Ovis aries: one gene and its partners. The protein of the gene in region 1 interacts with the protein of each later gene in a pairwise test. Links are inferred from orthologs where the notes say so. Each region holds a gene or a part of one and is shown on either strand. Other genes may lie near its edges.

Region 1 (3,873 bases):
TGGATAAGCAAAGTGCACATTGCTCAGTCCTGTCTGACTCTTTGCAACCCCATGGACTGTGGCCTGCCAGGCTCCTCTGTCAATGGAATTCTCCAGATCAGAATACTCGAGTGAGTAGCCTATCCCTTCTCCAGGGGATCTTCTCGACCCAGGAATTGAACCAGGGTCTCCTGCGTTGCAGGCAGATTCTTTACCAGCTTAGCTACCGGGGATGCCTGGGTAAACAAAATGTGGTATATAAATACAATGAAGCATTTAAATTCAGCCTTTAAAAGGAAGAAAATTCCGACACACACTACAGCATGGATGGACCCTGAGGACATTATTCTAAGTGAAATGAGCCAGCCATGAAAGGACAAATACTGTATGATTCCACGTAGACACCCGGAGGAGTCAGAGTCACAGAGAAATAAAGTAGAAAGATGGCTTCCAAGGCTGAATGCAGGGGGAGAGGGGGGTCAGAGTTCAGTTTGGCAGGATGAAAAGAATCCTGGAGATGGATGGTTAAGATGGTAAGTTTTCTATTACTTGTATTTTACTACAGTGGAAAAAACCCAAACAAACAAAAACAGAAAGAATAGGGATGGGAATTCAAAGGCAGGAAGTAGGGAGGTGTGGTGGGAGACCCTGTCAGTGACACCATGATCTTGGACCACTGGGATACACGCTGTTGTCTTCTCAGCATGTCTTAGCCGTGGATCTTCAATACCTCCTCCTGTGTCTCTTCCCGCCCCTACTGGAGGAGGGGTCAGCAGGTAGATCAGGTAGGGTGGTCGGCATCTTGGGGTTGCGAGGACATGGGTGAGATGGGGAGACAGCCAGTATTAGAGCTGTGCTCTTATCAGCTGGCGGCCAGCGCAGGAACCATGGGCGTATGTTGATTAAAAGAGTCTCATTGGAGATTCAGGATGCTACGGGCACTGAGATGATTATCTGCCATAACGCTGTGTGCACAGCGGGCATTCAATTACCTGCTGCTTGTTTGGTTCATTGACCTCAAGATTGGATGATACTCAATTCTTGGGATTTGGGTTGTCATATTAGTGGAAATTAAATTTATTTAATATTTTTATGAACCTTAGGCTGCATAACCCTATCTGTGGCATCTCACTGTTCTTTCAATCCTTAGACTTAGGAAACTATGGCTTCTAGTCTTTCTCTGCATGCTGTATCTGCATGCTTGGGGGCAGACCAGCCAAGGCTTGTTTGCTTTTCCTTTTTTGGTCGTGTTAGCTGCTTTGCTGGCCTCTCAAGTCCCTGAAGTTTGTTGCACTCTGTTCTGGCTCTATCACCTGAAATAAGTAAGTGGTTTACATATTTGCTGGATTCTTCCAAGTCTAATTCTTGGCTCACCACCCGCAGTTATTTAATGCTTGGGAGGGAAGCTTTTTCCTTATGCCAGCTAATCAGAAATACAAAGCTGACATGATTTTTCCAGTTCAGCAAACCTCCAAAAATCTGCCCGCCTTCAAGGGGAGCTTCACGGCCCTCATGCAGGTGGCGAACTCTGCTGTAAAGAGAGAGTTCTCAGCAGTGTAGTCGACCATGAATGGGGTTAATTTACAAAACCTGCTCTCTCCATTCTCTGCAGAAAGAAATTGAGACCCTCCAAGCCAGGATGTCTGTTCTGGAAGCAAAAGATCAACAGCTGAGACGGGAAATTGAGGAGCAGGAGCGGCTTCTCCCGTGGCAGGGCTGCGACCTTGTGGGAGGGTTGTCCCTGGGCGAGCTGCAGGAGGTCACCAAGACCTTGCAGGACACCCTGGCCTTGGCCGAGCAGATTCCCCTCCGTGCAGAGCCACCTGAAGCCATCCAGAGGTACTGGTGATTTCCTAAGTGATTTTGGATCTCTCGCCTTGTCGATCTGTTTATGGGGTTGATTTAGTCTGCGGTCCTACATATGTAAACGTTGGGTTGGCCAAGGAACTTTTCCGTCAACTCAGTATTTTCCAAGCAGTGCTGTGTATTTTCAAGGGAAAGTACTCCCGGCATTTTGAGGGTCAAGGCCCTTCTTTGTGGGGGCAGCCCTGTCCACTGCAGGACGCTCTACACCGTGGCTACCCAGCCTATTGGGCTCCCTAGGTGGTTCAGTGGGTAAAGAACCCGTCTGCACTGCAGGAGACACAGGCATATACGAATCGATCCCGGGGTCAGGAAGATCCCCTGGAGGAGGCCATGGCAACCCACTCCAGTATTTTTGCCTGGAGAATCCCATGGACAGAGGAGCGGTTGCAAAGAGTCAGACGCGACTGAGCAGGATGCACACAGCCTGCTAAATGCCTCTTTCTCTCCATTCTGCTCAGCACCTTCCCCATTTCCTAACGCCCCCCGGGCGCCTTCTCTCTCTTTGGGATCTGTTGGAGTTTGATCGGTTGGAGAGTTTGATGCCAACAATCGTCTGGAGACAAGGGGAATGTTAGAAAGTGTTAGTCGCTCAGTTGTGTCCGACTCGTTGCGACCCATGGACTGTAGCGCACCAGACTCCTCTGTCCATGGAATTCTCCTTGCTAGAATACTGGAGTGGGCTGCCATTTCCTTCTCCAGGGGAATCTTCCTGACTCAGGGATCGAACCTGGGTCTCCTGCATGGCAGGCAGACTCTTTATCATCAGAGCCGCCAGGGAAGCCTGGAGGCAAAGGAGGGAATGAGCTACTAAGAGGGGAGACTCAATCAGTGACCAGGAAGAAGAGATGATCATTCATGACAACCAGCATTTATTGAGTCTTACTGTGTGTCAGGCGCTGTGCTAAGCTTTACGCGATGAGTGGCGTCTATTATTATATCCATTTCACAGATGAGGATAAGAGAGCTTAGGAAGATCAAATAGTTTGCCAAAGTCTCAATTGATAAGAGACAAAACTGATACTAAAATTCGTGTTTGTTGCATCAAAGCCTAGTTTCTTACCCGCTTGTGGAGGGAGAACCTTCCCTGTGCTCTCTGTTGAGGAAGACACAAGAAATACGTGTGGACCTCTGACCTTCTGGGAGGTCATTACCTTATTCTGGCCAAAGATGGAACCTGCCCCTACTCCTATTAGACAGAAGTCGAGCTGGTGGTGAGGCTTGAGGGTGCAGCGGGTGCAGCAACGAGGGGAATGAATGTGCTGCTCAATTACGCTGCAGGAAACACTCAAGAAAACCTTGCCACCTGTAGCGGCTGAGAATAGGGACTCTTGCTATCTACTCATCCATATATTAGTTGGAACCACTTATTATCGGGGGGCTGTTCCTCGGATGAACTGGGTTAAAATGTATCAATATAAGGGTCATATGATGGTGCCTGGGTGGCAGCACGCCCCTTTACTGTCATATAATGGTGCCTGTCCTTCTCATCACAGGGATTTCCATCTTCAGAAGCCTTCTAACTGCTGTCCAAATGTGTCTTAGACTGTTTAGCAAGTATCTGCCCTCTTACACATGCCACACTCGGTGGTATCAGCTGGGATGCTCGTCCAGGAAGATGCTCACCATGTCCTCCCCTCCCCGTCCCAGCCCTGATATTTCCCTGCAGAGCTTTAACCCTGGGCTCCATCCACAGGGAAGGGGAGGGCGTGTGTTGTTGCCAGATTTTAGTCAAAGGAAGCTGACCATCAAGCCTGCCTGTGCCCTTTCTCCTTCACCCCCACTCTACAGCCTTGGCCTCTGGGGACCTTTCCAACTCCTGCTTCCCATATCCCTCCTGTGGAAGTCTTTCTACACACACACACACACACACACACACACACGCACACACATGCGCACACACATGCACACACAAGCACACACATGCATGCACACACATACATATACACACACTTACACATGTGCACACACATGCATATACAAAGCACACACATGCACACACATGCACACACACGCACACACATGCGCACA
Region 2 (4,475 bases), on another chromosome or scaffold:
ACCAAAATAACCAGAAGAGGACAAGGAACCAAAATGACAGAATTAGTTGAAACATGCCTAATTAGAGGCAGAGTATGCCAGAGTTTTGACAAAGCAATTGCCAGTCTGGTCTTTATATGAGCAAAATTTTCCACCAGAAAGCAGGGGGTAACCCTGGCCCCAGGGACTTTGAAAATGTGTTTGAAGCTTTCTCAGTGGTTCGACTAAATAAATTTATAATCTGTCCAACCTACCAGGTGTAGAGCACTATATTCCATAAAGATTGGGGGATCAGAAAGGAGACAGTTAAGAAATATGGTCTTTTACAGGTTTAAGAATCCCCAGGCTAGAGATTGGAAGGGAGTAAGATCAGAAAGCAGAGCACAGAGGGCCACTCAGGTGGATGGTGGTCCTAGACCCTACCACAGATAGCCTGCCTCCCCTCTTACAACTTGTTACACATTGTCAGTCATTTCCAGCCTTATCTGTTGTAGATTTCACCCTTCTCTGATTTGAAGAGCACATCAAACCTAGCCCCCACCCCCACCATAAGGCTGCCCAAGAAGGAAGAAGAATACCCCCAGCAGGATTCCACAGGAGACAGTCCCCAGTCAGTTATTTACTCTGTGATTTTAGCCAGAGCTAGACAATGTAAGCCCCATGTTGTATTTTGAAAGGCCCTGGGAAAAGTAACACATTGGACCATTATAGGTCATTAACACCATTAACACTGTGTGAATTCATTTGTCAGAAATTAGCAAGCCTCCAGAAACTTGAGATCTGCTCCAAGTGCCTGGGAGGAGAACGGATAGGAACTACTGTTTGGATGGTAGAAAATGGGAAGGAGGAATGGATGCCAAAAGATAAAAGTAGGTCCAGAAAGGGAAGGTCGGAAAGCTCATACTTCAGGAGTTTTCCCCAGAACTAAGGAAAGGCAGACTTTTGTGCCAGATGAGAGACAGGAGTGGGGCCAGGTGGGGGAGTCAGGGAAGACGTCCTGGTGAATGTTTCCAGATAGGCCTTAACCCCCAGAACCTCTCTCCTAGACTATAATCTAAGGTTATAAACTCAGGTCAGGCACGTTTTTAGAATTCGTGCCTTGGTTCCTGGGCAGTGCATATGTGAGTGTAAGGGTGGGGGGAGGGGGACGGGCCAGGCGGCAGTGTATATTAGAAACCACGACTGGTTAAAAGGAACAAGGAGACAAGGCTGAGCCCTGAGAAGCAGGGTAGGATAACAGGGGCTCCTGTTTTCTCCAGGCTCTGGCATCAGCTCCTGTCCTCCACCTCTTTACTCTTCAGACCAACTAGAAAATGAACATATGGGTCGACCAACTCTTGACTTCTAAAGCCACAAGTCTCCCCAACAAAGCACCCCACCCCTTCCCCTCAGATGACCTCCAGGGCAGGGCAATGAGGTTAGGAAACAGATGGGTGTGCAGGGAGCCTCCAGAGCTAACCTGTTCCCTGACCCCACCAGTTCACGCGCTTTAACCCAATTTACAGAAAGAGGGGGTCCCCATAACTTACTGGACTCTTTGGGACAAAGATTCCAGACAAAATGGTTCCAGATATGGAAGATGGGGAGCTCTACCTACTGAGTTGGTGGAAGCCACAGGTAAAGAGGAGATGGAGAAACCCTGGTTATCAGAGAAACAGGGCCACAGGTGGTGGGAGAGGAGAGTGGTCGGCATCTGCTCTGGGAAAAGGGCTGTGCAGGCAAGGAACCTGCGACTCAGACCCAGGACTGGGTGGTGGCGGGGGCAAAGAACAACCGTGAAAGCAGGTCTGGCGGGGGAGCTCTACATACCACAGGCAAGCAAAGATTCAGTGGGTGTGTATGAGGGGGACGCTAACTCACACGTCCAGAATGAGTGATTTTTATCAAAAGCTCCTGCGTTCCCATCACTGAAGAAGAGGAGGACAAGGACGAGGTCCTAGGCGCCCACCGCCTTCCCAGCCAAGTCCGCCTCTTAAGTCTGAGACGCCCGGCTCCTCACACACATCAGGCTCCGCGGTCCACCGTCCGCCCCGCTCCTGACTGTCAGGCTGCAGCCTGCGCGACTCCCGGTCCTTCTTTGCATATCAGGGCCCGGGGCCCGTGGCCCGGAGCAGGGGTGCGGGCGCGGGGCGGCCAGAGCCAGGCTGACAGGCGCTAGGGGGAGGGGGAGCCGAGGGAGGGGCGGGGGCGCCGGGAGCGAGAGCGGCGCGCTGCAAAGTGATCCAACCTCGCCCCATCCCCGCGCTCGGGGAGAAGGCGGCCCACCGGGACCGCCTCCCGCCTCCCCACACAGACTCCCGCAAGTGGGGTGAACGCCGAGGGGCGCCAAGCTCCCAGCCCCCACCCCTCTCCAAAACGCAACCAGCACTGCCATAACAACAAGAATCTCGGCAACTCCGGCCCGGACGACGAGGGGGACAGCACCCCCCAACACGCCCGCCCCAGCAACAGTCTCGTTCCCCAAACTTGTCCGAGAAGCCGCGTCCAGGGCAGCAGCCCCCCACCCGCCCCACCCCCCCAAGCTCCCCAGCTGCCCAGCTTACCTGTCCGGAAAAAGGCGTCCACGTCCGAGTCGGCGGCTCCTCCTTCCTCCGCTGCCCCCTCCGGGGGGTTCATGACTGGGGGAGGGCGTCCACGGGCAGCCGGGGGGCGGCCAAGCCCGGGGCCGAGCGCTGCTCTGTGGGCGGCGGGCGCTGGGCTGCGGACACCGGGCTTCGAGGGCGGCCGGCCGGGGCGGCTGGGCTGGGGCAGAGGACGCCGAGGCTCCCTCAGGCGGAGGCGCACGGCGGGCTGGGGGCGCCTGCCGCGGGCTCCCCCATGGTCCCCCTTCCCCGGGGGGCGCTGGCCGCCTGCGGTCTGCCCGGGCCGGGGTCCGAGCTGCTTGGGCGCCCGCTCTCCCTCAGCAGCGGCAGCTGGCTCTCCTTCTCGCCCGTCCGCCTGTCTCTATTGTTCAGCCCTGCTCGGCTCTCCTCTTTATTTTTCCTCCTCCCTCCCACCCTCCCTGTCTCTCTACCTCCTCCCTCCCTCGCTCTATCGCCCGCACGCTCTCAGCCTCCCTCCCTCGCTCGCTCTCTGGCTCCCCCTCTGGCTCCCTCAGCCGCCGCCGCCTCGCAGCTCCTCCCCCGGCTCCCGCTCCTCAGTCGCGGCCAACAATGCCCGGGGCAGCGCCGAGCTCAACTGAAGCTTCGGCCCGGGCCGGGGTTCGCCGCGGGCCCCCGGCGGCGCGGACGCCTCCCTCCCCCCGCCTCCCCGCGCCGGCCTCTCCAAGGAGCCAAGCCCGGGCCCCGAGCTATTGTTCGCGGCTGTGCTAGGCCGGCTTCCTGAGCCCCGCAGGAAAAGCCCCGGCGAAGGAGGCGGCCGGGGAGGGGGCGGGGCCGCCGGGCGCGTCCTGGGCCGCCGGGCGCACGCCGGGCTTGCCGAGGGGGCTCGGACGCCTGAGCCCCGCGTGCTCAGCCTCGCCGCTAGCGCTGTTCCTACTCCCGCCCGGCGGCGGCCGCCTCCTCCACCCCACCCCGTTCTCAGGTGTATGAGCCGCGACCCCCCTCAAGCTGCCTGTCCCCCAAGATGGGCTGATCTGTCTCTAGAGGCTGGACTTTTCCCCGCTCCTTCTCGACAAGCTCCCTTCTGTCTCCTTGACCTCCTGAGCCTTTCGCATTTTCCTCACCAACTCTCCTTAGTTCCTCTGGTTTTTTGGTGTTTGGTTTTTTTTTTTTAAAGCTTTTCTCTTCCTTCCCCCCTCTTTTCAGCGCCCCTGTAAACACCTCTGCCTGTCTCGGTGACTCTTTGTCCAGTTCATTTCTCTCGCGATGTGCCCCTGCCTATCTTTCCCTCCGTGACCCTCTTCTGTCTCCCATTTGTCTCTGTCCTGCCTCGGTACTTGGCCAGTGTCTCAACGCTCCTCTTGGACAGCTGTCAAACTCCCTAATCCCCGAGGCCTTCTCTGTTTTGTTCTTCTGCCTCGTGTGAATGGAGAGATCCAGTTGGCCAGGAGAAAGGAGGTGTTACAGCAAGCTGAATTTCAATTAAAGTGGGGAGAGGGACAGGAGAGGAATGGGGAAGACCTCAAAAAAGAAAACAGATGCTGTATGGGGTAATTAATGCAGTGATTGTATTGTGCCAATTGGTTTTTAAGCAATAATTAAACAATAATTAGCCAGTATTCTGTTTATAGTCCTAGTGACTGCAAAGCTTACAAAACAGAGGCTCTTTAGACCTGAGTACTTAATGTGGTGTGTTGGAGGCTGTTGTTGCTACCTCATCCAGACAGATGGAGAGGCTGTGGCCTGACCTAATGTGTTAAAAACACACCTAATAGGAAAATCAGATAATGTAGTGTAAAGCTGATGGACTGCTACCCACCAGCCAGAATCTCCCAGATCTGTCATCACTGGTAACCTACTTGGTTCCATCTCTTTCCAGGTAAAGCACCTGGAACCTCTCCAGATCTACAACCAGCTAACTCTTAACAGCAAATAGATTTAAATGCGTTTTTAGTG
Region 3 (3,873 bases), on another chromosome or scaffold:
CCAATCAGTTCCTGATGATACTTCCATACATGTCTACCATATCCCATAGACAAGACAGTTGCTTCAAGATACGATTAACACCTAAGATTAACACTTCAAAACAAACATGCATGCCAAATTATACAAGCTGCCACTGGATTAATGTCCATGGGCCCCCTTAGAACTCCTGAAGGCAAACAAGAAAGTCCATAACATCTTCTTATAATTTATATATCCTCATACTAAAAGCTGGATGAGATAGGCTCCTAAATGAAATAAAGATTTCCAAGTCATAGAGCTGCTGCTGCTGCTAAGTAATATTATTCATTTCTGAATGCTTAAAATAACCAAATAAAACTGGAACATGAGAATAGATAGTAAGTTAAAGGGATTCATTTTAAAAGTAAATATAATGAGATCAAGAAGCACAGTTTCAAAAAATATACATGAGTCTGTAATATTTGTTTTCTACATATTTCACAGGTGATATTACGTAATTTTAGAGATACAATGGCTAGAATCTCCCTCCTAGCACTGACTGGCTTTGCAGATCCACTGTAAAATGTAATAGTCTATAGAAATAACCTCCATATCACTGTAACCATGCTCTTAACCAAAAAGTATCTTTATAAAGAAGTTATTTTAGAACATCAAGTAATTCAGATTTACTAGGAAACCACAAGGCACCTGACCCTAAAAGATATGCACAGAGTAAAAATGCGAAAGCGGCAGTGAAATTATGCAAACTCACCAGGGTCATAAGGCACATGCCAGTACTGACATCCCACATCTTGATAGTCTTGTCCCTGGATCCAGACAGTAAGAATGGCCCAGGTTTGCCACTTTTTTTAGTCTACAGAAAACATAAAAATCAAATTTCCTGGGCAAGAAGTTAGGTGACTTAAATGACAACTACCCAACAATGATCTGTATTTCTAATTTTGTAAAAATGCATTGTTTGACAAAAAACGATATGTATTTTAGGCATACCACTGTTCTGAGCTATGTATACAAATGGTTACTACAATCAAGCTAATTAACACAATTATCACCTCACATTACCACATTTGTGTGTGTTCTGTGAAAAGAACACTAACGATGTACCCTCTCAGCAAATTTCAAGTATACAATACGGTACTGTTAACTACAGTCACCGTGCTGTACATTAGATATCCAGGACTTATTCATCCAAGGTCACAAAGAGTTGGATATGACTGTTACTACCCCAGCTACAATGAATCTATGATGTGGTAAGTAACCACCACCAGGTGGCAGTAAAAAAAAAAAAACCCAACAAACCTGAAAATGCAATGAGCCAGCCAACTAGGAAGAGATTACCAAAACAGCTTCATTTTGAAAAATAATTGGTTGGGGGTAGGTGAGGGTGAGAGTGTCTTCATTTATTAAAATTTAAAAAAAAAAAAACACAATAGGAATGTCACTATAAAAAAGAATTTTGGCTCATACAATATTTACAGAAGTAATTATTCTGTAATTTTACAAGTATTAATTACAAAGAATGAAATCATGAGGAACACAAATGATCAAGACTATCAGAGGCCTCCATATGAAATATTCTTCACTTAAAACAAATGCTATTCTTGTTTTTAGTTTTTGGCCACATGGCATGTGGGATCTCAGTTCCCTGATCAGGAAGCTGAGTGTTTTAACCACTGGACCACCACTGAAGTCCTGAGAAAAGCTACTCTCCTAGAAGACGACTTTAACTTCTCCCATAAGTTTTATTTTGTATTGGTATACTCTTAAAACAGGGACAATAATAATTAATTTAATGACCACTTCACTTACCCTAACCCTAGCACACATCAAGGGTCAACTGACAGCAACAATAACCACTGGTTAAAAAATATAAACACATCTATCTGCAAGTTGGAAAGAATTTCAAGACTCAGAATTCTGGATGTAGATTTTATAATGGCATGAAACAGAGACTCGGGGAAGGTCATTAAAGGTTCTCAAATAGTAACAGCCACAAAATCATGAAATAACACAAATCATACACTACCTCAGATCCTGTTGCTTCAGAGATGGAAGAATATGAGCTTTCGGGAGCCCAGGAAATGCATTCTACCACATGCTCATGTTCTCGAAGCTCAGCCTTGCATTCCTTTGTTGCTACGACCCACACACGCACAGTCTGGTCATTGGAACAGCTGGCTATCAGAGTGCCGTCTTGATTTGGCCGCACCATACGTACCCATTCTCTGTGTCCTGTGAATGTCTTCACACAGTAGCTATAAAAATACATAATAATTTACACTGTGAACAGCAATCACTGGGGCCCTTCCCAGAAGCGATACAAGACTAGCTATGCACTGGAACGAAGAGAATTGGCATCATATGCAAGTCAACAGAATACACGTACATTCCTGGTTAATAAAAGAGGGAGACAGGCTGGAAAGTCAAACATCAGTTAAAATAAGCTGATGGAAATATCATTAAAGAGCTAACCAAATCAAAATCTAGAAGGAAAAAAATAGAGAGAAATATAATCTTTTAACTAAGCACACACAGTAAACCTAACAAAAATATTTCTAGCCATGTTGGGGAAAAGGCATGCTCTTACTAATCTGGACAAAACCAGTAGGTTAAGGCTTTATTATAACAGTCATGTAATTCTAAGCACAACCAAATTAAGCCTAATTGGGCATACCTGCAAAAATGTTATTTACATTTTAATTCAACTCAGAGAGATCACCTAAAAGAAGACCACAGAGAAAATAAGCCATTACATAGAAAATGGCTCTCAAGGATATAGAGTTTCTTCCATAATTTCTCTGTTCCTTTTGGGTAGACATTTAAAGATTAAAACTTAAGTTTTAAAATGTAACTGTCATGGTAATCATTCTGGGTTACAACCAAATTTACAAGAACAATCAGAACACAGTTTTGGATTTTTTGTTGAATATTATTTCTTTAAGCTGATGCCTTTTCAACTAAATCTACTTACCCAGTTTGCACTTCCCACATTTTTATAGTTTTATCCCTTGAGGCAGACACTATATGATCTCCATTGGGCATGATGGCTACTGAAGAAACATTGTGGTCATGGCCTAAAACACAAAACACAGTTACTATGTTAAACAATGTATCACCAAGAGCAATTAAACCTTAATTTACCATGAGATTTCATCAGGGATTTCAAGTATCACAGCTACTTTAAATACAAGGGAGTTCATATAAATTTAATAAGAAACTTGGATTTACACAAAAACATAAGGGACTGTTAAGGAATTAGTAACTAATAAAACAATTCACAATGAAATAAGTAGCCAGCTCAATTTACATTTCAACCTGCACAACTATTTTAACAAGTTATTAACTGAAGACCTATTAATGCCATACGGTGTTCATTTCTGCAAATACGTCCCAGCCAATAATGTGTTAAAATCACAGGTAATCGGTACCATCAGCATTTGAATATATTAACACATCGGATGTTTTTGAGCACTAAAAAGCAAAACAAAACAAAAATTTCCATGGTTGCTATTCTAAGATATAAAATAGAAATACGATTTACAGAGATGAATAGAATGGATCAGAAAAATGGGCATTTGGCTCTATGTAGAAACTAGTGGTTGAAAGCTTTTTGTGTTGATGTGCACAGGAGCAAAAAAAATAAAATATATTATTCATAATGCTAGTTAGCTATCCTATGGCAAAAAAGCCCCAGAAAATTCTCTTAAGTATCACATCATTTAAAGGAATATACAATGATTGGAAAGAACTCTTTAAGTCAGAGCAATAAGACACAGGCTACCTAACAAAACAAATACAGATTTTATAAAAGGATTCAATAAAACTCCTTTAACTGGTAAACTTCCCTAATGCACTTAAATTGGGGAGTGGGGGACATATTATTCAAATTACACC
Region 4 (4,538 bases), on another chromosome or scaffold:
AACCTAGACAGCATATTAAAAAGCAGAGACATTACTTTGTCAACAAAGGTCCATCTAGTCAAGGCTATGGTATTTCCAGTGGTCATGTATGGATGTGAGAGTTGGACTATAAAGGAAGCTGAGCACCAAAGAACTGATGCTTTTGAACTGTGGTGTTGGAAAAGACTCTTGAGAGTCCCTTGGACTGCAAGGAGACCCAACCAGTCCATCTTAAAGGAGATCAGTCCTGGGTGTTCTGATGTTGAAGGACTGATGTTGAAGTTGAAACTCCAATACTTTGGCCACCTGATGCAAAGAGCTGACTCATTGGAAAAGACCCTGATGCTGGGAAAGATTGAAGGCAGGAGAAGGGGACGACAGAGGATGAGATGGTTGGATGGCATCACCGACTCAATGGACAACGGTTTGGGTGGACTCCGGGAATTGGTAATGGACAGGGAGGCCTGGCATGCTGCAGTGGTTCATGGGGTCGCAAAGAGTCAGACACGACTAAGCAACTGAACTGAACTGAACATCCTCTTATGGAAATTAAGAAAAATTCACAGAACACATTAATCTTTCATTCAAACATGTCACACTTGTGACATGTTCATTTACTGAGTATCTATTAGGAGCTAGGGACTATTATGAGTACTGATATAAATACAGTCCCTTTGAGGAGCTTCCATTTGAATGTGGAAAATACATAATTAATACACAGTATGTCAGGAAGTATAAAAGCTAAAAGTAAAACCAAGTAGGGTAAGGGTAGGTTCCAGAGTGATGCAAAGGAGAGAGTGATCAGAGGTGTCTTAGGGAAGGCCTCTCTAAAAGAAAAGTAATATCTAAGAAAATATCTGAATGGAGTGAGCTAAGCAAAGATGTGTGGGAGGACTTCAGGGCAAACAGCAAATGAAAAGGCAATCAGAAGAACAGAATGAGGCAGAGTAAAAAAAAAAAAGATATGCAAAGAGCCAGATCATGAGGAGCCCTGTGGATAGGTAATGAGTTTAGACTTTATTGTGATACGATGGGATGTCACTGGAGGGCATGGCATGGTCCAGTCCATGTGCTTTTTTAAAGGCCTTTGTTAACAACAAGGTAAAGAACTGACCCTAGGGTAGACTGAGGAGACAGTTCAGTGACAATCATGCTGTAACCTTTGGGCAGAATAAGGAAGAGTGGGCCTGAAAGGAGGGCCCCAAAGATACACCTCTACAGTTTTGCCCTGAAAGATTGCTCCGCTTCCTTCATACTCCCAGGCCCACTTGGCTTTTGGTAGCCCAGATTCTAAGATGCCTCCCATGATCTCTGTCCCCAGTGGTTAAGCCCATGATTAGACCTGTACAGGCAAAAGGGATTTTACAGATATAAGGGGGTTTCTAATCAGTTGACCTGATTTATCAAAAGGGATTTATCCAGGTGGGTTTGCCCTAATCACATAAGCCTTTTAAACCTAGGTCTGGAAATCAGAAACAGGGAAGAGATATTAAAGTCTGAGAGACAAGCTCATGGTAGCCTGCAAGAAAGTAAACATCTATGTTATAAACTGCTTCTGAGAATCTTGTGGCAAAGAATTTCAGGCTGCCCCCAGGTAGGTGAGGTGGGAGCTAGCAAGAAAACAGGGACTTCAGCCCTACAGCTGCAGGGACTGAATCCTGCTAACGAACTGAAGGAGCTTAGAAGAGGACCCTGAGCTCAAAAGAGAACCACAGCAGGGACACACTTTGCACCCCTGTATGACAGCAAGCAGATAACGGTAACCATTCACCTCTAGAAACAATAAGGTAATAAATGGGTGCTGTTTGAGGCTGCTCCATCTGTGCTACCTGAAATGTACACACAGCAACAGAAAACTAATACACACTCCACTTTCCTACAGAAGAGCCTGCTTCTCTCACCCTGGAAACGAAAGGGGAGATGGAAGATAAGCAAACTTGGAGGAAATGAAAAAAATTGACTTTTCTAACCCACTGAGGCCAGGGACTTTGCTCAATTGCTCGAGTCACAGAACCTGTTTTGTAAATTCCACATTTTGCCAAAATACAAATTCTCTTTCAATTGTGAGCAATGGAAGTAGGTTTACTATTTTAAATTTCAGTAAATTACTTTGATGTGTGTGCTTAGTCGGTCAGTCCTGTCCGACTCTTTGCGACCCCATGGACTGTAGCCTGCCAGGCTTCTCTGTCCATGACAGTCTGCAGGCAATACTGGGGTGGATTGCCATTTCCTTCTCCAAAATTACTATGATAATTATGCAGAAATAAAGGTAACTACTTGGACGTCTGCCAAAGTTGTCCTAGCACCTAGAGACAGAGATCCTCAGGCTAATCTCAGAAACGTGCACAAGGTCAGGGGCTTAACCTTCCTCGAGTTCTAGAAGCTCGAGCTCTTACTCTGTTTTTGTTCAGAGTAAGAATAGCTCAAGAGGCGTTCTCAGCTACTTAAAGAAAGGCAGTCCTTCCTGGATAATTACAACCTTGACCCCTAAAACGCGGTCTCTAGCAGTCCAGGCACCTCCTTAAGGTGCAACAAGCCAAGAATATGCGCGTCCCTCTGGGAACTGTAGTTTCCCCCCCGTCGACCTTCAACCACTGGATCCGCGAAACCTCTCACGCGCCCAACCGGCGACCCGGGCGCCAGCAGCCTCGATTGGTCCTAGACTGAGGCAGCGAGGGGCTGATTGGATGGCACGTCCCCAAGGCCGTGCCTCCCGTCCTACACCCGCCTCCCCGCCACCTTCTCTTCTCCACGCCCCATCCCGCTTCAGCAATAACCCTCCAGTCATTCCCGTCCACCGAACTCCCGAATTAACTGCCTCACGGGCCCACCCAGGACTCTCGCGATAAGGGCGGTCCGGAGACACGCCTCTGTCCTGGGGCCTAGGCAAAGCCAATGCCTCCCTTATTTTCCGCTGGTCAGTTCACCCACCATGCGCTGTCTCCCGGCGCCCCCGTCCTCACCTGGGCGGTGGATGTCACGCCGGATAACTGACAGGCTCGCAGCATCTCTACTAGGCTGACGCCGCTGCGGGTGTAACTGGGAGCTAGGGCGGCGGCGCGTGTAGGGGACACGGTGCGTCCGTGCGTGCCTGCGTCCGTGCCGCCTCTCCGCGCCGGGCGTACCGGAAGGGCAGCAAACGCCACTGCGCATGCGCAGGCCCGTCTTGCTCCTGTCCCGGCCATTTGAAGAGGGTGGGCCCTTTCCAAGCGGAAAGGGCGATTTCCCCTTCCGGGTCGCGCTGAGACGTCGGCTCTGTTACCCGAAGTATAGATTGTTAGGTAAGCGGGAGGGCTGGCGGTGGATCTGAGACTCAGGCTTTGGTCTGCCCAGGAACCAGGCAGGTGTGACTCGTCGAGAATTCAAGCAAGAAATTATCTCAGCCATTTCTGTCAGCTGAATATTTCGTAGAAAGAAAGGGATTTGCCGAAAGTTACGTAAACAATGGTGTGGTCTCTGCGCGTTCCTTTTGTTTCGCAGCCCTTCAGGGAGTCATCCTGCTTAAGGGAGATTCAGTTCAGTTCAGCTCAGCCTGTCAGTCGTGTCAAGCTCTTTGCAACTCCATGGACTGCAACACTCCAGGCTTCCATGTCCTTCACCGACTCAGGGAGCTTGCTCAAACTCATGTCCATTGAGTCGGTGATGTCATCCAACCATCTCATCCTCTCTCGTCCCCTTCTCCTACCCTCAATCTTTCGCAGCATCAGGGTATTTTCCAGTGACTCAGCTCTTCGCATCAAGTGGCCAAAGTATTGGAGTTTCAGCTTCAACATCAGTCCTTCCATTGAACACCTGGGACTGATCTTCTTTGGGATGGACTGGCTGTATCTCCTTGCAGTCCAAGGGACTCTGAAGAGTCTTCTCCAACGCCACAGTTCAAAAGCATCAGTTCTTCAGCGCTCAGCTTTCTTTATAGTCCAACTCTCACATCCATACCTGACCACAGGAAAAACCATAGCCTTGACTAGACGACCTTCGATGAAAAAGTAATGTTTGCTTTTTAATATGCTGTCTAGGTTGGTCATACTTTCCTTCCAAGGAGTAAGCCTCTTTTAATTTCATGGCTGCAGTCACCATCTGCAGTGATTTTGGAGCCCCCAAAAATAAAGTCAGCCACTGTTTCCCCATCTATTTGCCATGAAGTGATGGGACCAGATGCCATAATCTTAGTTTTCTGAATGTTGCACTTTAAGCCAACTTTTTCACTCTCCTCTTTCACTTTATCAAGAGGCTCTTTAGTTCTTCGCTTTCTGCCATAAGGGTGGTGTCATCTGCATATCTGAGGTTATTGACATTTCTCCCAGCAATCTTGATTCTGGCTTGTGTTTCTTCCAGCCCAGCGTTTCTCGTGATGTACTCTGCATATAAGCTAAATAAGCAGGGTGACAATATATATCCTTGACATACTCTTTTTTCCTATTTGGAACCAGTCTGTTCTATGTCCAGTTACAACTTTTGCTTCCTGACCTGAATACAGGTTTCTCAAGAGGCAGGTCAGGTGGTCTGGTATTCCCATCTCTTTCAGAATTTTCTACAGTTTATTGTGATCCACTCAGTCA
Region 5 (4,641 bases), on another chromosome or scaffold:
ACTTTCCAATTAATTTGAAATTAACTCAGTGCTTTTCAGTCATGGCAGTTAGATACAGGGACTACTGAACAGAAAGATGACAAAGCAATTGCTTCTGTTCAAACTTATCATAAACTATATTTCCCTGGACTTTTCATCTCAACAGATTTCAAATTCCCCTTTCCAAAAAGTACTTGACCTTCAAATTTCAAGTTCTGTATGTCTTGATTTCCTGCTTCCATCATGTTAGAAAACTCAAACTTGGCTACAAGTATATTATCTCTGTTACCTGATTTTAAAGAATTTTGTTTTCAAATCTGCAGTCTGTTCTGTGCCAACCCTGCATTGCAGAGAGATCTTTACGTGCGATCCCAGTTTGGCTCCTTCAAACAGAGTCACTACTAACTGGCTTTTAACCGTATTTACTACTATAGAAAGCAGGGAGGAAACCTCCGCCAACCTAACCAGACTAGCTGGGCGACAAACCCCCAGGGCGGCTGAATCTTCCAGCAAGCCGTGCTGGGCGCTGTCCTTGGTGCTGCCGGCGCCATAGCGAACACAAGCGCCTTACCTTCTGCCCCTGCGGAAGTTGCGGACGTCCCCCAAACGTTAAGCAGGATGCAGCGCCTTATCCCACTTTTATAACAAATAAATACCCCAGCCCATCCGCTTTGTCCCCTTCCCGAAGACTTCAGGCTGACCGTTCCTCAAAGTCTTTTTGTTTTTCTCTTCTAGGCCCAACTCGGGGCCTGCGCTCATCTCGGGCTGCTTTAAGTCAGGGAGTGGGGGAAGGGGAGGGAGGCAAGGGGCGACGAGGCTGGAGGAGGGGCGGGAGGAAGGGGGAGGGGAGGAGGGAGAAGGTAGGGGGAAAGGCTGGGGGAAAAAAAGGTCCAGGAGGAAGGGGCTCTGAAAGAAGGGAGGAGTGAGTGGAGCTAAAGAAGGCTTAAAGTGGGAGGGCGAAGAGATGCCAAAAACAGGGGGAAGTGATTAAGCACAGAATATGGGTAAAGAAAAAAGTAAGAGAGAAAGGGCAAAAGAAGAGAAAAGTATGAGGATAAGAGTACAGAAGCGGGGAAAAAAAAAAAAAAAAAGGTGGCCAGGGGGGTCGTTAGAAAAGCTGCCCGAACGGCGGGAGAGTGACTAAACAAAGAAAGCACTTTGGGTGAATATTCCCACCGAGGGTGTAAAATGCAATCTGAAGGTGAAGAGAAATGGAGAGGGGGGCTCGGGGAAAGACAGGTGGTCTGGCACCGAAAGAAGTGCTGGGGGGAGGGGCCGGGCCCAAGGCAGTGAAGTCCAGGGTCCGATGCGGCGTGGGCCCACGTGGAGCGGGCGCTGAATCACTGCTGGGCTCTCTTCACCCCCCATCCTCCCCCTCCTCTCCCGGCCGGGTGCCCGCAGTCCCCGCCTTCTCGGCCGCCGCCTCCACGGGGCGGGGCCCTGGCCCGGGGACCAGCCGCCGCGGCTATAAATGGGCTGCGGCGAGGCCAGCAGAACGCTGTGACAGCCACACACCCCGAGGCCTCCAAGATGAGCTACACGTTGGACTCGCTGGGCAACCCGTCCGCCTACCGGCGGGTGACCGAAACCCGCTCGAGCTTCAGCCGCATCAGCGGCTCCCCGTCCAGCGGCTTCCGCTCGCAGTCGTGGTCCCGCGGCTCGCCCAGCACCGTGTCCTCCTCCTACAAGCGCAGCGCGCTGGCCCCGCGCCTCACCTACAGCTCCGCCATGCTCAGCTCGGCCGAGAGCAGCCTCGACTTCAGCCAGTCCTCGTCTCTGCTTAACGGCGGTTCTGGGCCGGGCGGCGACTACAAGCTGTCCCGCTCCAACGAGAAGGAGCAGCTGCAGGGGCTGAACGACCGCTTCGCGGGCTACATCGAGAAGGTCCACTACCTGGAGCAGCAAAACAAGGAGATCGAGGCGGAGATCCAGGCGCTGCGGCAGAAGCAGGCCTCGCACGCCCAGCTGGGCGACGCGTACGACCAGGAAATCCGCGAGCTACGCGCCACCCTGGAGATGGTGAACCACGAGAAGGCTCAGGTACAGCTGGACTCGGACCACCTGGAAGAGGACATCCACCGGCTCAAGGAGCGCTTCGAGGAGGAGGCACGGCTGCGCGACGACACCGAGGCGGCCATCCGCGCGCTGCGCAAAGATATCGAGGAGTCGTCGCTGGTCAAGGTGGAGCTGGACAAGAAGGTGCAGTCGCTGCAGGATGAGGTGGCCTTCCTGCGGAGCAATCACGAGGAGGAGGTGGCCGACCTGCTGGCCCAGATCCAAGCGTCACACATCACCGTGGAGCGCAAAGACTACCTGAAGACGGACATCTCGACGGCGCTGAAAGAGATCCGCTCCCAGCTCGAGTGTCACTCCGACCAGAACATGCACCAGGCCGAAGAGTGGTTTAAGTGCCGCTACGCCAAGCTCACCGAGGCGGCCGAGCAGAACAAGGAAGCCATCCGCTCCGCCAAGGAAGAGATCGCCGAGTACCGGCGCCAGCTGCAGTCCAAGAGCATCGAGCTCGAGTCAGTGCGCGGCACCAAGGAGTCCCTGGAGCGGCAGCTCAGCGACATCGAGGAGCGCCACAACCACGACCTTAGCAGCTACCAGGTAGGAACCGCGGCTGCGCGGCCAGCCTGCGCCAGCGCCAGCGCCGCGCGCCCCCGACACTCAGGCCCGCGCCCCGCCGAGCTCTCCGCCGCGCTCCCTAGCGGCCGCTAGCCAGTGAGCGCGCGCGCGCTCGCCGCAGAGCCAAGTTGGAAGCTCAAAGCTTCCTCGCCCCTTCGCGCCCCCTCCGCGCGCTCCCTCCGGACTCCTCCCCCGCACACCATCCACAGCTCTAAGAGCCTCGGCCTTTTCCAAAACGTGCTTCTTTTCCTCGGAAGTTCTAGTTTTGCACGCTTGCGAGTTTCAAGTAGGAGGTATACGTTGGGGTAGCTGATAAAGCAGCAACTTTAGGAGAGGCGTGAAGAAACTCATGTATTCTCAACTTTTCCAGCTGCGATCGGAAGAATTCCCAAAATTGATTTCAGCCCAAAGGGCTAAGATGGGAAGGGCCAGATCAGCCGTGGGGGGTTCCCCATGGATGTTTGTTTCCTGCTGAGACGTTCTAGATCCACTGGTCCTAGTGCGTGACATGCCCGGGAAACGTCTAATTGTCTTATTGATTCTGTTTGTTTCTCAGTTCCTTAGATTTTTATTTTAAGCGGGGACGGGATCTGGCATTAGTACCCGAAGTACGCCAAGCTGGAGGGAGTCGAGGGAGGGGAGGAAGCTGGAGGGGGTAGCAAGTGTTTTGCGAAAGAAGTGGCTGTTTGGAAGGATGATTTTGTGGCTGTGTCGGTTTCAGGATACCATCCAGCAGCTGGAAAATGAGCTTCGGGGCACAAAGTGGGAAATGGCTCGTCATCTGCGAGAATACCAGGATCTCCTCAACGTCAAGATGGCTCTGGATATTGAGATCGCCGCATACAGGTAGGGTGTTCACTGCGGACGTGGCCAAAGTACGAGCCGCACTGCAGAGGCCATGTTGGCAGAACCTTCACCACTTAAGTTAAAGCAAGTAGGTTGCAGGAATCTTAACTCAGTGCCTGGTTTTCTTCCTTAATTAATAAGTAGTTACTCTAAAATATTTCAACTTTTATGCAGCTTTAAAAAAAGTAAACAGTTAAAATAATGTATTTGAATAAAAAGTGTTTTGAGGGAGAGCGCCGATTAATTTCAGTGCTTATGCTTAACCTTTTTTATTTTAGTGAAAAATACTTTCCGAATATTTGAAATAAAAAGTTTTAATTTTTTTTAATATTTTTCTCTAGTGCTTTCAATTTTTCAACTTTATGATGTCAAGGACAAACACCAGGACATTTCATTTATCCCTTTCTTAGTCACAGTTTACTATTGCCATCATCTGGCTTAGAATAAATATGATTGGTAGAATATTTATTTTTTATTCAGACTTCTATTTCTAGATCTAGATAGATAGACATCCAGAGAAGGAGAAGATATATATATATATATATATATGTATATATATATATATATATATATAAAAACTGATGTCACCTTGCTGTTAAGTTCATAGGGGAAAATTCTTGGCTGAACAGTTTTATTTTCCCCATTTAAGTCATTCATATTACAAGAATAAATTGCACTCAACTCAGAGCCATCTAAGTTTTCAGGAAAGGTGAAAAATTACATAAAATAGACACTTTATGATTAAAATTACAGACTAATTTATATAATACATGTATATTATCACCCAGCTATGACATATATAGCCTGAATTCTGATGTATTCTAAATAGCTTTGTAAATTTTTTGAATATTATATTTGTTAAAAGATGTTTCATATACACCTGAAAGTCCAAATGCTTAAGAAGGTGACTTTAAGGCTTTTGGAGAGCCTCTGGGGAGCTTATCGGCATATTCATATTGCGCCAAATGAGGACTGAGGCAGAGCTGAGAGTTAGTAGTTAGGGGTAGGGAGTGGACTTTGGGTGTGGTTAGTTACTGCACCGAGTGATTGGCTTATTGTCCCTGAAGATCCTTCTCTGTCATTTAATATGACACAGCAGACTAGTGAAATGAGAGTATTATGTCATGTGATTCTGTTTATTCAAAGGTATCCTTACACATACCACCTTACACATACTGTAATGAAGGT
Region 6 (3,873 bases), on another chromosome or scaffold:
GTGGCTCTCCTTCCTTCTTTTTTAAAAAAATTATTTATTTACTTAGCTGTGCTGGGTCTTAGCTGTGGCATGTGGAATCTAGTTCCCTGATCAGGGATTGAACCAGGACCCCGGAATTGGAAGTGTGGAGTCCTAGCCACTGGACTACCAGGGAAATCCCTCCTCTGTCCATTATTCAAGCTTTGAGGTTGCTCAGGGAAAATGACCCCTGCTTCGTCTCAGGCCACAGGCCCTCCCTGAGTGACCAGTTCCACGTGGCTTCTGCCTTTGCCTCTGCTGACAATCCCCCAAAGCCTCTGTCTTCCACATCAGCCCTTCGCTTTGTCCTCCCAGACAGCCTCCCCAGAAGTCCCACGAGTAAGTACCTCATCCTCAATATACTTGAGACATAACTCTCCAGCCTAAAACCCTTGGATGTCTCCACACTGACTACTGAATAAACCAAGAATCTCAACCTGGCTCACTAACCTTCAGGATGGCCCCTCCCCACCCCCCAGGCTTGTGACTCATCAAAAGCCCAAGTTCTGTCCTCTTAGCTACCGCTGTCCAGCTGCGCCTCCAGCACGCCTCGCTCAACTAGGGGCCTCCACCTCCACCTCTCCGTTTGCTGGACCCTTTCATCTCCATCCCTCATGGCCAACCCTGACTCTCTTCCGTTTTCCCCTGGAGGCTATGCCTTCAGGAAGCTGGCTGACCGTGCCCCACTCCCCACTGTGCTCAGGGGCTATTAAGGGCTTCCCCTGACTGCCCCCAACCCCTCTGGCCTTTGCCATCACACTGCTCATCACTCAGAGGGAAGAATTACTTGGCTGCCTCCTCCACCAGACTGTCAGTTTCAAGAGACCCAAGGTCAGGTATAGGTCCCACTCCTCCCACACTCAGCACTCTACCTGGTATGGAGTATATGTGCACCACACTTGAGAGCTCTCTTGATTCTCCACAATGGATTCTGCCCAGGTTTTGCTATCCTACCTTATTTCTGGGTTCCCCGGACTACCCCCTGGAGCTCTCACCAACCCCCAATCTGAGATTTCCCAGGTTCACGGGGCAGAACTTAGCTCCACAGCCCTACCTTGTATTCCTTGATCTCCTCCTGGAGGATTTCATCAGCGTCTGCGTAAACTTCCACCTTCCTCTGCTTCTCCAGCTTGCGCCGCAGCCGGGAGATGTCCTCCTGGGGCAGGAGAGGGGGCAGTCTTGAGTGCAAGGGTCCTCAATCCAAACCTGCTGGCCCCGGCCCTGCCTCCACCCCCTGCCGACCACACACCTGAGCCCTCTTGAGGTTGAAGCTCTCCTTCTCCCGCGCGGCCCGGCTCTCGGCCAGGCAAGGTTGGATCTCTCGCAGCCGTGTCTGCACGTGCTCCAGCTGCACCTTCAGGTCCTCGGCCAGTTGCGCTGCTTCCACAGCCTGAGGTGGGTGGAATGGGGAGGAGGGGCACAGCTGGCCTGAGCCTGGGGAATCAAGTGTGTGGAGCCATGGCCCACAGAGGCTTATGTCAACTGTCCAGTGGTTCCTGCTCTTGGGAGTAGTCCCAATATGTTCACTGAAACCGATTGTCTCCTGACCCCACCAGCCTCACCTCCTCGTCTTCCTCATTCCCAGCACTTCTGGCTCCTGACCTGCATAACCCTCTCTCCTGTCTCTGAGCCTCCACAGGGTTCTCTGCTCCCCTCAACTCCGCCAACACACAGACTTTTTCTCTGAAGTTCCCTGAAGCCTCAGCTCAAATGTCACCTCCTGAGAGAGGCTCTCCTGTTTTCCTTTCATACAGTTCTATTTCCTTCATAAGACATGCTGTGAGTTTCCTGGCGGTTATGTGGTTAGAATTCCGGGCCTTCACTGCTGCCGTGCATTGCAGCCAAACAAAGACATGCTGTGATCTGAAACAGTGTTACTTAATCTGTGGGATTATCGGCTTGCTCTCTGCCCCTCCTAACTGGAAGCTCCCACTTCCAGCAGAGGTGATTTGTTCTTGTGATCTCCCCAGCACTCAGTGCAGTACTGGTACACAGCAAGAGCATGACTAATGCTGCTTAAACGAATGGACCAAACAGAGAGAAGTCCAGGAGAAGAAAAGAGATGAAAATCCATGTTAAGCCTTTACTATGACCTGGAGGAGTGATGTCATTCCTAACTCTGTTCCCCTCAGAAGAACAACTACCACGAGCTAGAGACATTTCTTAGGGTTAATACAACTATGTAACAGAGACAGCTAAACAGTGCAGTGGTCAGGATATGGGCTGTGGAGTCAAGGAGAGCTGGGCCCAAATTCCACTTCCACTCTTTCTTGAGCAAGTCAACTACCTCCCTAAACCTCAGCCTTCTCCCTCACAGAAAAGGAGATAACAATGAAAACTGCTGTAGGATTACTTTAAGGCGAAACATGACCCAACAGGGAAAGTCCTCAGCACAGGGTCTGGCACACATTAAGTGTCTGAGAGTGAACGGGGCTGTGTAGGGCAGCAGAGCCAGGCCCTGGCCCAGGTCATCTGCCTCACCTTCCTCTTGTTGAGCTCCAGGGCCTGGCTGCGCAGTGTCAGCTCCTTCTCCACACCCCCAAGGCTGCCCTGCAAGGCTCGCTCCTTTTCCTCCAGCTTCTGCACGGTCAGCAGCTGGGCATCCACCTGAGGACAGGAGTGGGGCCTCAGTGCTAGGGAACCCCTGCCTCTCCAGTCCCACCCTACCAAGCCTGGGGCAGCCCTACCTGGGACTTGAGGCCAAGAACCTGCTCGCCCAGCTCATCCTTCTCCTCCCGCAGCAGCTTATGAATCTGGTTGGCTTTGATCCGCTCTGACATCAGCTTGAAGTTGGCGTCGTCCTTTTCTCGCAGCTGCTGGAGCAGCCGCCCGTTTTGTTCCTGCATGTCCTCAAAGGCTTGGCCTGTCACATCCATCTCTGACAGCAGGGCCTCCTCCTCCTGCAGCAAGTGGGCAGGGGCAAGATGGAACGTGGGAGACGGACAAGATCAACTATGGGGAAACCGCAGGAAAACACGGCTGTACAAAGACCCCCAGAGTGGACCCAGGCCATGTGCTAGACCAGGAGGTTTAAGGAATGCCAACATTCAAAGCTAGGGGAGGGGTGGGGTGGGGTGGGGGGTCGCACCTGCTTGGTGGCACCCAACTTGCGCTGCAGGTGTTCGATCTGCTCCTCTGCCTGACGAATGCGCCGCAGGGCATCCTCGTCCGCAATCTTCTTGCTCTCCCTCCGATCCCTCTCCTCCAGCTCCCGGATGCGGCCCCGGAGTTCATCAACCTATAACCTCCAGGAGGGAGCTCTCTCATCACTGCTTCCTGCTAACCCAGGGCTCAACTCTGGTCACCGACTCCCTGCCCTGGGGCAGCCTTTTTGCACATCCCACAGACCCTACCTGTCCTCACCTCAGCCTTGGCCTTGCGTTCCGCTGCCATGAGCTGCACCTTATCCCGCTGTTCCTTGGGCGCAGACTTATACATGTCCAGCAGCAATTTCATCTCCTTCTGGCTTTCCTGGGCCTTCCTGGGGGAGGCACAGGAGGAAGGCTGGGTGAGTAGGGCTGGAGGTCACTGGGCAGGGGTGGGAGGGAGAAAAGAACAGGACCTCACTTGAGCTCTACTCGGAGACCTTTGAGAAGTTCTGATTCCTTTCTCTTGGCCTCTTCCACTTTGGCCTTCTCCCGATCAGCCCTTGAGAGAGCCGAGGCTACAGATGGGGGTCCCAGAACAGGCCCTTCTCGCTCCCGAAGCTCCCGCTTGGGTCTGGCCTCAGGTTCTCGGCCCCGGGAAGAGGGTCCCTGGGCCCCCGGGGTCAAGGCCTGCGTCTCTTCCTCGGAGGGCACCAGGTCTTCCTTCTTCGCTGACGAGGTAGTAAGGGCAGCGCCAGGCATGGAAGCC
Region 7 (4,407 bases), on another chromosome or scaffold:
TCTGTTTATGGGGCCTGGGCTGTGAGCCATTCAACTGGCTGGAAGGACATGGCGTACACCGAGAGGTGAAGGGTTGACGTTCAGCTTCACCTGAGGGTGGGGGCAGAGCTTCCCAGGGGCCCGATCGGTGGTCAGGGAACTGGGCTCTCCCACTCCTGAGGTGGCTCACCTTGAGGACCTCTGCTCCCGTCCTGAACTGGTAGCTCTCATCTCGGTTGGCGAGGAGGTAAATGGCTTGGCTCACGTGGTTCCTGGCATCTTGGATCTAAAAGCAGGGCCCACGGAGCGGTCAGTGGGCTGGGCCTTGGCAGGGAAAGGTGCCAGCCTCAGAACACCCATGGTCTCTGGGGGCCCAGCCTAGGGATCCCCACCCCGAGGGGGCCTATCTATCTTCCTAGCAGGGGTGGGGTGGGTGCCGCCTGCTGGGCCTGGCTGATGCAGTGAGGCAGGCTCGGTCCCCAGTCCCTTGCAGCTCACTTTCCAAAGGAGGACAGAGGGTAACAGAGGAAAGGCACAAGGTAATAGACTGCTCAGCTTTCACAGGGAAACAAGGTGATTGGGGGGCGGGCGGCGGTGAGGGAAGGCAACTCTTAAGCTGAAGCTTGTGCAGTGGCAAAAGCTGGGGGGTGGACTCCAGGCAGAGGGACAAGCCCAAGCAAAGGCCGTGAAGTGGAAACAGCTGGTGGCCAGTGAGAGGGGAGAGGGAGGTGGCAGAAGCCAGGTCCAATTACAGGACAGGCTAGGAGACCAGGCACTGCCCACCCCAGCTGCACTGCTAGGAGACATCTTTGCAAGCCTGCTGCAGCCGCAAGGCCTCACAGCGGCCAGCCCTGGAGGCCTCAGCGCTGCAAGGGCCTGTTCCTGCCTGCCCTTGTGCCCTGGGCCCCAGCCGGGGAAGGGCCCAGTTACCTGCTGCAGTTTCCACTGCTTGTCCTCCCGGAAGGCAAAGTGCAGCAGCTGGTTGTTCCTGGGCATCTTCAGGTTCACGTCCTGCCAGGCAAGGGTGGGCTAAGCCGGGCAGAAGGATGCCCTCCTGCCGCCGGCCACTCTAAGCCCTTGAGCCAGGGGGCAGAAGCAGAGTGTATGTGGTGGCTCACGTCTGAGCCACTCCATGTGGGAGAGGGGGAAGAACATGGCCATTTGGGTGGGGGCAAACAGGGAACAGGAAATAGGAACTCAGGCCCAAAAGGAACCACAAAGAAATGAAAGGGAAAACAGCCGCGAAAGGGGAAGGTGGCTTCTGCTGGGAGGGAGGAGGTGTGTGGTTGTGGGCAGATGGAGAACATTTGCAGGTGCCAAGGGACGTAACGCCCACCCAAGGAGGAGGGGGACCTTCCCCCAGGCCTTGGCACCTGCTACAGGATCAAGTGCAGAAAGAGTTAAGATGTTGGTCTGGGGCCAGGCTAACCCTGGGGCCAGACTATAGGTAGTGCCGTGTGCAAAGCACCACCCACCCCCTCACTTGCTGTACCTCTCAAAGGAGTAACACACCAACCTCAGAAGCAGGTTACAGGGGTTGTTGTCATTTTCAAACAAGGAAATTGAGGCCCAGAGAGGTCAAGGATCCTGCCCAGAGTTACACAGCTAGTTGGGGGCAGAACTGAGCTAAAGCAGGAGGCCCCCCACCCACCCCTGACTCTTGCCCGTTGGCTGCTGTGGTGGCATGGGAAGGGGCCGGGGCAGGGGGACTCACCGCTTGGCTCAGCGCGTCTCCCTGCAGTGTCAGCACGCCCTTCACCTGGTCTGTGCTACAACACGTGGGGGTCAGAGCAGCACCTGCAGCTGCCCCCTCCCACCACCTGCAGCTGCCCCCTCCCACCACCCCAGCCTCTCCGCGGGCTGTCACAGGATAGTCCAGCCTGTCCCACTGCACATCCTCTGGCCGCTGGAGCTGGAATCAGTCCACAGGGCAGGGCTGTGGCCACGCCACCAGTCCTAGAGGGTATCCCCAAGGGTCCCTCCTCCCAGAAGTCCACCCCTCAACCCTACCACGGTTTCTACCCAGCCCAGGCTCACCCACAGCTGCCCAAGACAAAGTTTTCCTGCTTCGTGGGCCCCTCGGTGCCTGAGCCTGGTAGAGTGAAGCGGAGCGAGGCCTCCTGAGGGGCAAAGGAGAGTCGGGTAAACCAAGCTCACCTACTCCAGCCGAGCCTTTGCTCCATAAGCCCCGCTCCCAGGGCCCCTCCCCCACGGCCAATTTCAGGTCCTACCTGAACCCATACCGGCTCCTTCCACATTCCCTGGGGGCCTACTGTGTGTCCCATACAGGATAGAGGACCCAGAGACACCCTCCCCGTTTGGTTGACGAGCTTGGAAGTGGGGAGCAAAGTCTGAGAAGACAGTAGTCATGGCAACCGGTAATTCCAGCCTTATCAGGCACCGCCTGGGCATTTTTTTGTATTTCCATTGGCTGTTTTTTTTAAATCTTCACAACAGCCCTGAGGGCGGTACTGCTATCTCCTTTTCGCAAAGGGGAGGTCCAGAGAGATCGAGGACTTGGCTGAGGTCAAAATGCTGGGTCCTTCAGATAGGAGATTAAACGTCAATTTCAAAGGGTAGCTTCCCCGACTCCGGGGCTCAATCCAGGCCCGCAGCCCTGGCAGGACGGCTTGTGGAACTGGGTAATTATCTGCTGGCGCCCCGGGTTAGACGCTTTTTAAGTCCTAGGACTGAGTCCGGGGCCTGAGGGCAGGGCCTGGTCTGAACACCGCGCGTCGGGTACGCAGCAGCCGCGGGAGGCCGAGGGGGAAGTCGCGCTGGGGGAGAGGGGGCGCCCGCACAGGTCCTCGAGGTTACCTTGAGGATGTCCTGCAGTTGCCTCAGCACGGCGTGCACCTCGTCGTGTAACAGCCAGCGGAACTCCTCCTCCTGTGGGGATAGGCCCGCTGTCAGCCGCCCCGGCCCGCGGCCGCCTCCCGCCTGGCCCGGCCCGGCCCGCGCGCCTCACCAGCACCGCCCGCTCCGCCGCCGTCGCTGCCATCACGGTCGCCATCGCCGTCGCTCGCTGCCCAGCGACCGTCGCGGGTGCTCGGTCAGCTGGCGGCGCCCGGGCCCACCCTCGCCGCCGATTGGCTGCGCGGGCGCCCGCCACGCCCCCAGCTCGCAACCCCGAGAGCGCCGGGGACCTGCCCACGCCAGCTCGCGCCGAACACCGCGGCGCTGCGAGCTCTGGCTTCAGCATCCGCAGCGGTTCACCCGCCAGGGCGCGGCGCTCGCTCGTCCCGCCCCTCCTCGGCTCTGATAGGACGCCCTGCACTAGGCGCGCTCGGCGATTGGCCGGCGGTATGGCTCGCTCTCGCCGCACCCGGCTACTGGCCACCGGGTCAGCTGGTTCCCGCCGGGTCTCGTCTCCTAGCTCAGTTTGTCCCGGAGGGACAACCCCCCCTTCTCTCCCGAGTGGTGCTCGGTGTCAGGGCGCAGACCACCCTACCAAGGTCACAGTTGTGTTACCAAGAAACGTTTTTTATTTTGCTTGCAGTAGCTTTTTGTTAATTGCACAAAATCATGTTTTTGCCATTTAAACATTATCACACAATCCTATTCTGAAAGACAAATGTTCATTAAAAACAAAGCAAAAATAAAAATTCACAACCTTAATTACCTAGAAGATTTGTCATTTAAAGGTTCAAAGGAAAAAAAAGGGAGGGGTGGTGGAAGAGGGGCTTTCTTACAAGCTTTTCACAAGTGTCACATTTTCTCCTTAAGAGGGAAGGATCTCAAAAAACAAAGGTGAAATAGCTTAAACAAAAATATTCATAAAAAGGAACTTTACAGAATTGTCAACAATATTAAGACAACATTGACTAACCAGTTTCATTACAGCATCTTCCCCAACCCCCACCCCCCAGTGTCCCGCTATAGGACTAGAACAGGCTTTGTGTTCAGACAGAAAAGAATTCAAAATCCCAGTGAAATTAACAACTGTGTCAAAAACCACAGGCATCTCCCTTGCCCTCCCCATCCCCATGTTTTCTGAGATCCCCTATCCTGGGTTCTGATCAGTGGAAAAAGGGCCAAAGCTGCAAGGGGGAGGGGCACACACCAGCGTGGCCACCTCAAATTGTGTTTATCACTGTATATGCACTACAAACGCTGAACTTCCGCACAGCCTGACTTTGGAGAATCCAACCCATGCAGGCGGAGAGAACACTGACATCCTTTAGGCGACTTCTCCTTGTTCTCATGCCACGTTCCAAGCCCCTGTGGTCCCCTATCCAAGGAGAAATGCTGATTCACCTCCAAGGGTCAGCGAGCTCTGGTAACGTCAAGCCTAGATCTCCTCTTCTCTCCTGACAGACCCCAGGGCCCTGAAAGCACCGAAGACCAAGCTGCTGGCTTAAGTGAAGACACTCATTTCTGTTTCAAGAGCTGAACCTAAGAAATGGTTGTCATTGGTCAGGCTGGGTA

The links.
Region 2: the proteins of DISC1 (region 1) and KALRN interact in a two-hybrid assay, tested with the Homo sapiens proteins (2 studies listed by BioGRID and IntAct). The link is inferred for Ovis aries from reciprocal best matches to the Homo sapiens genes DISC1 and KALRN.
Region 3: the proteins of DISC1 (region 1) and PAFAH1B1 interact in a two-hybrid assay, tested with the Homo sapiens proteins (2 studies listed by BioGRID and IntAct). The link is inferred for Ovis aries from reciprocal best matches to the Homo sapiens genes DISC1 and PAFAH1B1.
Region 4: the proteins of DISC1 (region 1) and IMMT interact in binary tests that used the Homo sapiens proteins (3 or more experiments, as listed by UniProt). The link is inferred for Ovis aries from reciprocal best matches to the Homo sapiens genes DISC1 and IMMT.
Region 5: the proteins of DISC1 (region 1) and NEFM interact in a two-hybrid assay, tested with the Homo sapiens proteins (2 studies listed by BioGRID and IntAct). The link is inferred for Ovis aries from reciprocal best matches to the Homo sapiens genes DISC1 and NEFM.
Region 6: the proteins of DISC1 (region 1) and RNF40 interact in binary tests that used the Homo sapiens proteins (3 or more experiments, as listed by UniProt). The link is inferred for Ovis aries from reciprocal best matches to the Homo sapiens genes DISC1 and RNF40.
Region 7: the proteins of DISC1 (region 1) and ROGDI interact in a two-hybrid assay, tested with the Homo sapiens proteins (2 studies listed by BioGRID and IntAct). The link is inferred for Ovis aries from reciprocal best matches to the Homo sapiens genes DISC1 and ROGDI.

The regions. Positions count from the first base shown.
Region 1 is NC_056078.1:3,975,629-3,979,501, forward strand, and holds part of DISC1 (disrupted in schizophrenia 1 protein), read left to right. Parts: intron 1-1,591; coding exon 1,592-1,818; intron 1,819-3,873. UniProt on the Homo sapiens protein: Involved in the regulation of multiple aspects of embryonic and adult neurogenesis. Required for neural progenitor proliferation in the ventrical/subventrical zone during embryonic brain development and in the adult dentate gyrus of the hippocampus.
Region 2 is NC_056054.1:189,285,553-189,290,027, reverse strand, and holds the start of KALRN (kalirin), read right to left. Parts: upstream 2,928-4,475; 5' UTR 2,596-2,927; coding exon 2,523-2,595; intron 1-2,522. UniProt on the Homo sapiens protein: Promotes the exchange of GDP by GTP. Activates specific Rho GTPase family members, thereby inducing various signaling mechanisms that regulate neuronal shape, growth, and plasticity, through their effects on the actin cytoskeleton.
Region 3 is NC_056064.1:23,452,051-23,455,923, reverse strand, and holds part of PAFAH1B1 (platelet-activating factor acetylhydrolase IB subunit beta), read right to left. Parts: intron 3,054-3,873; coding exon 2,951-3,053; intron 2,235-2,950; coding exon 2,006-2,234; intron 833-2,005; coding exon 731-832; intron 1-730. UniProt on the Homo sapiens protein: Regulatory subunit (beta subunit) of the cytosolic type I platelet-activating factor (PAF) acetylhydrolase (PAF-AH (I)), an enzyme that catalyzes the hydrolyze of the acetyl group at the sn-2 position of PAF and its analogs and participates in PAF inactivation.
Region 4 is NC_056056.1:58,091,797-58,096,334, forward strand, and holds the start of IMMT (MICOS complex subunit MIC60), read right to left. Parts: upstream 2,988-4,538; coding exon 2,943-2,987; intron 1-2,942. UniProt on the Homo sapiens protein: Component of the MICOS complex, a large protein complex of the mitochondrial inner membrane that plays crucial roles in the maintenance of crista junctions, inner membrane architecture, and formation of contact sites to the outer membrane.
Region 5 is NC_056055.1:40,765,741-40,770,381, reverse strand, and holds the start of NEFM (neurofilament medium polypeptide), read left to right. Parts: upstream 1-1,476; 5' UTR 1,477-1,509; coding exon 1,510-2,589; intron 2,590-2,724; exon of another isoform or gene 2,725-2,900; intron 2,901-3,328; coding exon 3,329-3,453; intron 3,454-4,641. UniProt on the Homo sapiens protein: Neurofilaments usually contain three intermediate filament proteins: NEFL, NEFM, and NEFH which are involved in the maintenance of neuronal caliber.
Region 6 is NC_056077.1:27,406,948-27,410,820, reverse strand, and holds part of RNF40 (E3 ubiquitin-protein ligase BRE1B), read right to left. Parts: coding exon 3,586-3,873; intron 3,500-3,585; coding exon 3,382-3,499; intron 3,257-3,381; coding exon 3,107-3,256; intron 2,919-3,106; coding exon 2,706-2,918; intron 2,626-2,705; coding exon 2,500-2,625; intron 1,409-2,499; coding exon 1,268-1,408; intron 1,175-1,267; coding exon 1,073-1,174; intron 1-1,072.
Region 7 is NC_056077.1:4,450,408-4,454,814, forward strand, and holds the start of ROGDI (protein rogdi homolog), read right to left. Parts: upstream 3,007-4,407; 5' UTR 2,993-3,006; coding exon 2,948-2,992; intron 2,869-2,947; coding exon 2,797-2,868; intron 2,319-2,796; exon of another isoform or gene 2,265-2,318; coding exon of another isoform or gene 2,211-2,264; intron 2,100-2,210; coding exon 2,017-2,099; intron 1,749-2,016; coding exon 1,694-1,748; intron 991-1,693; coding exon 910-990; intron 266-909; coding exon 170-265; intron 1-169.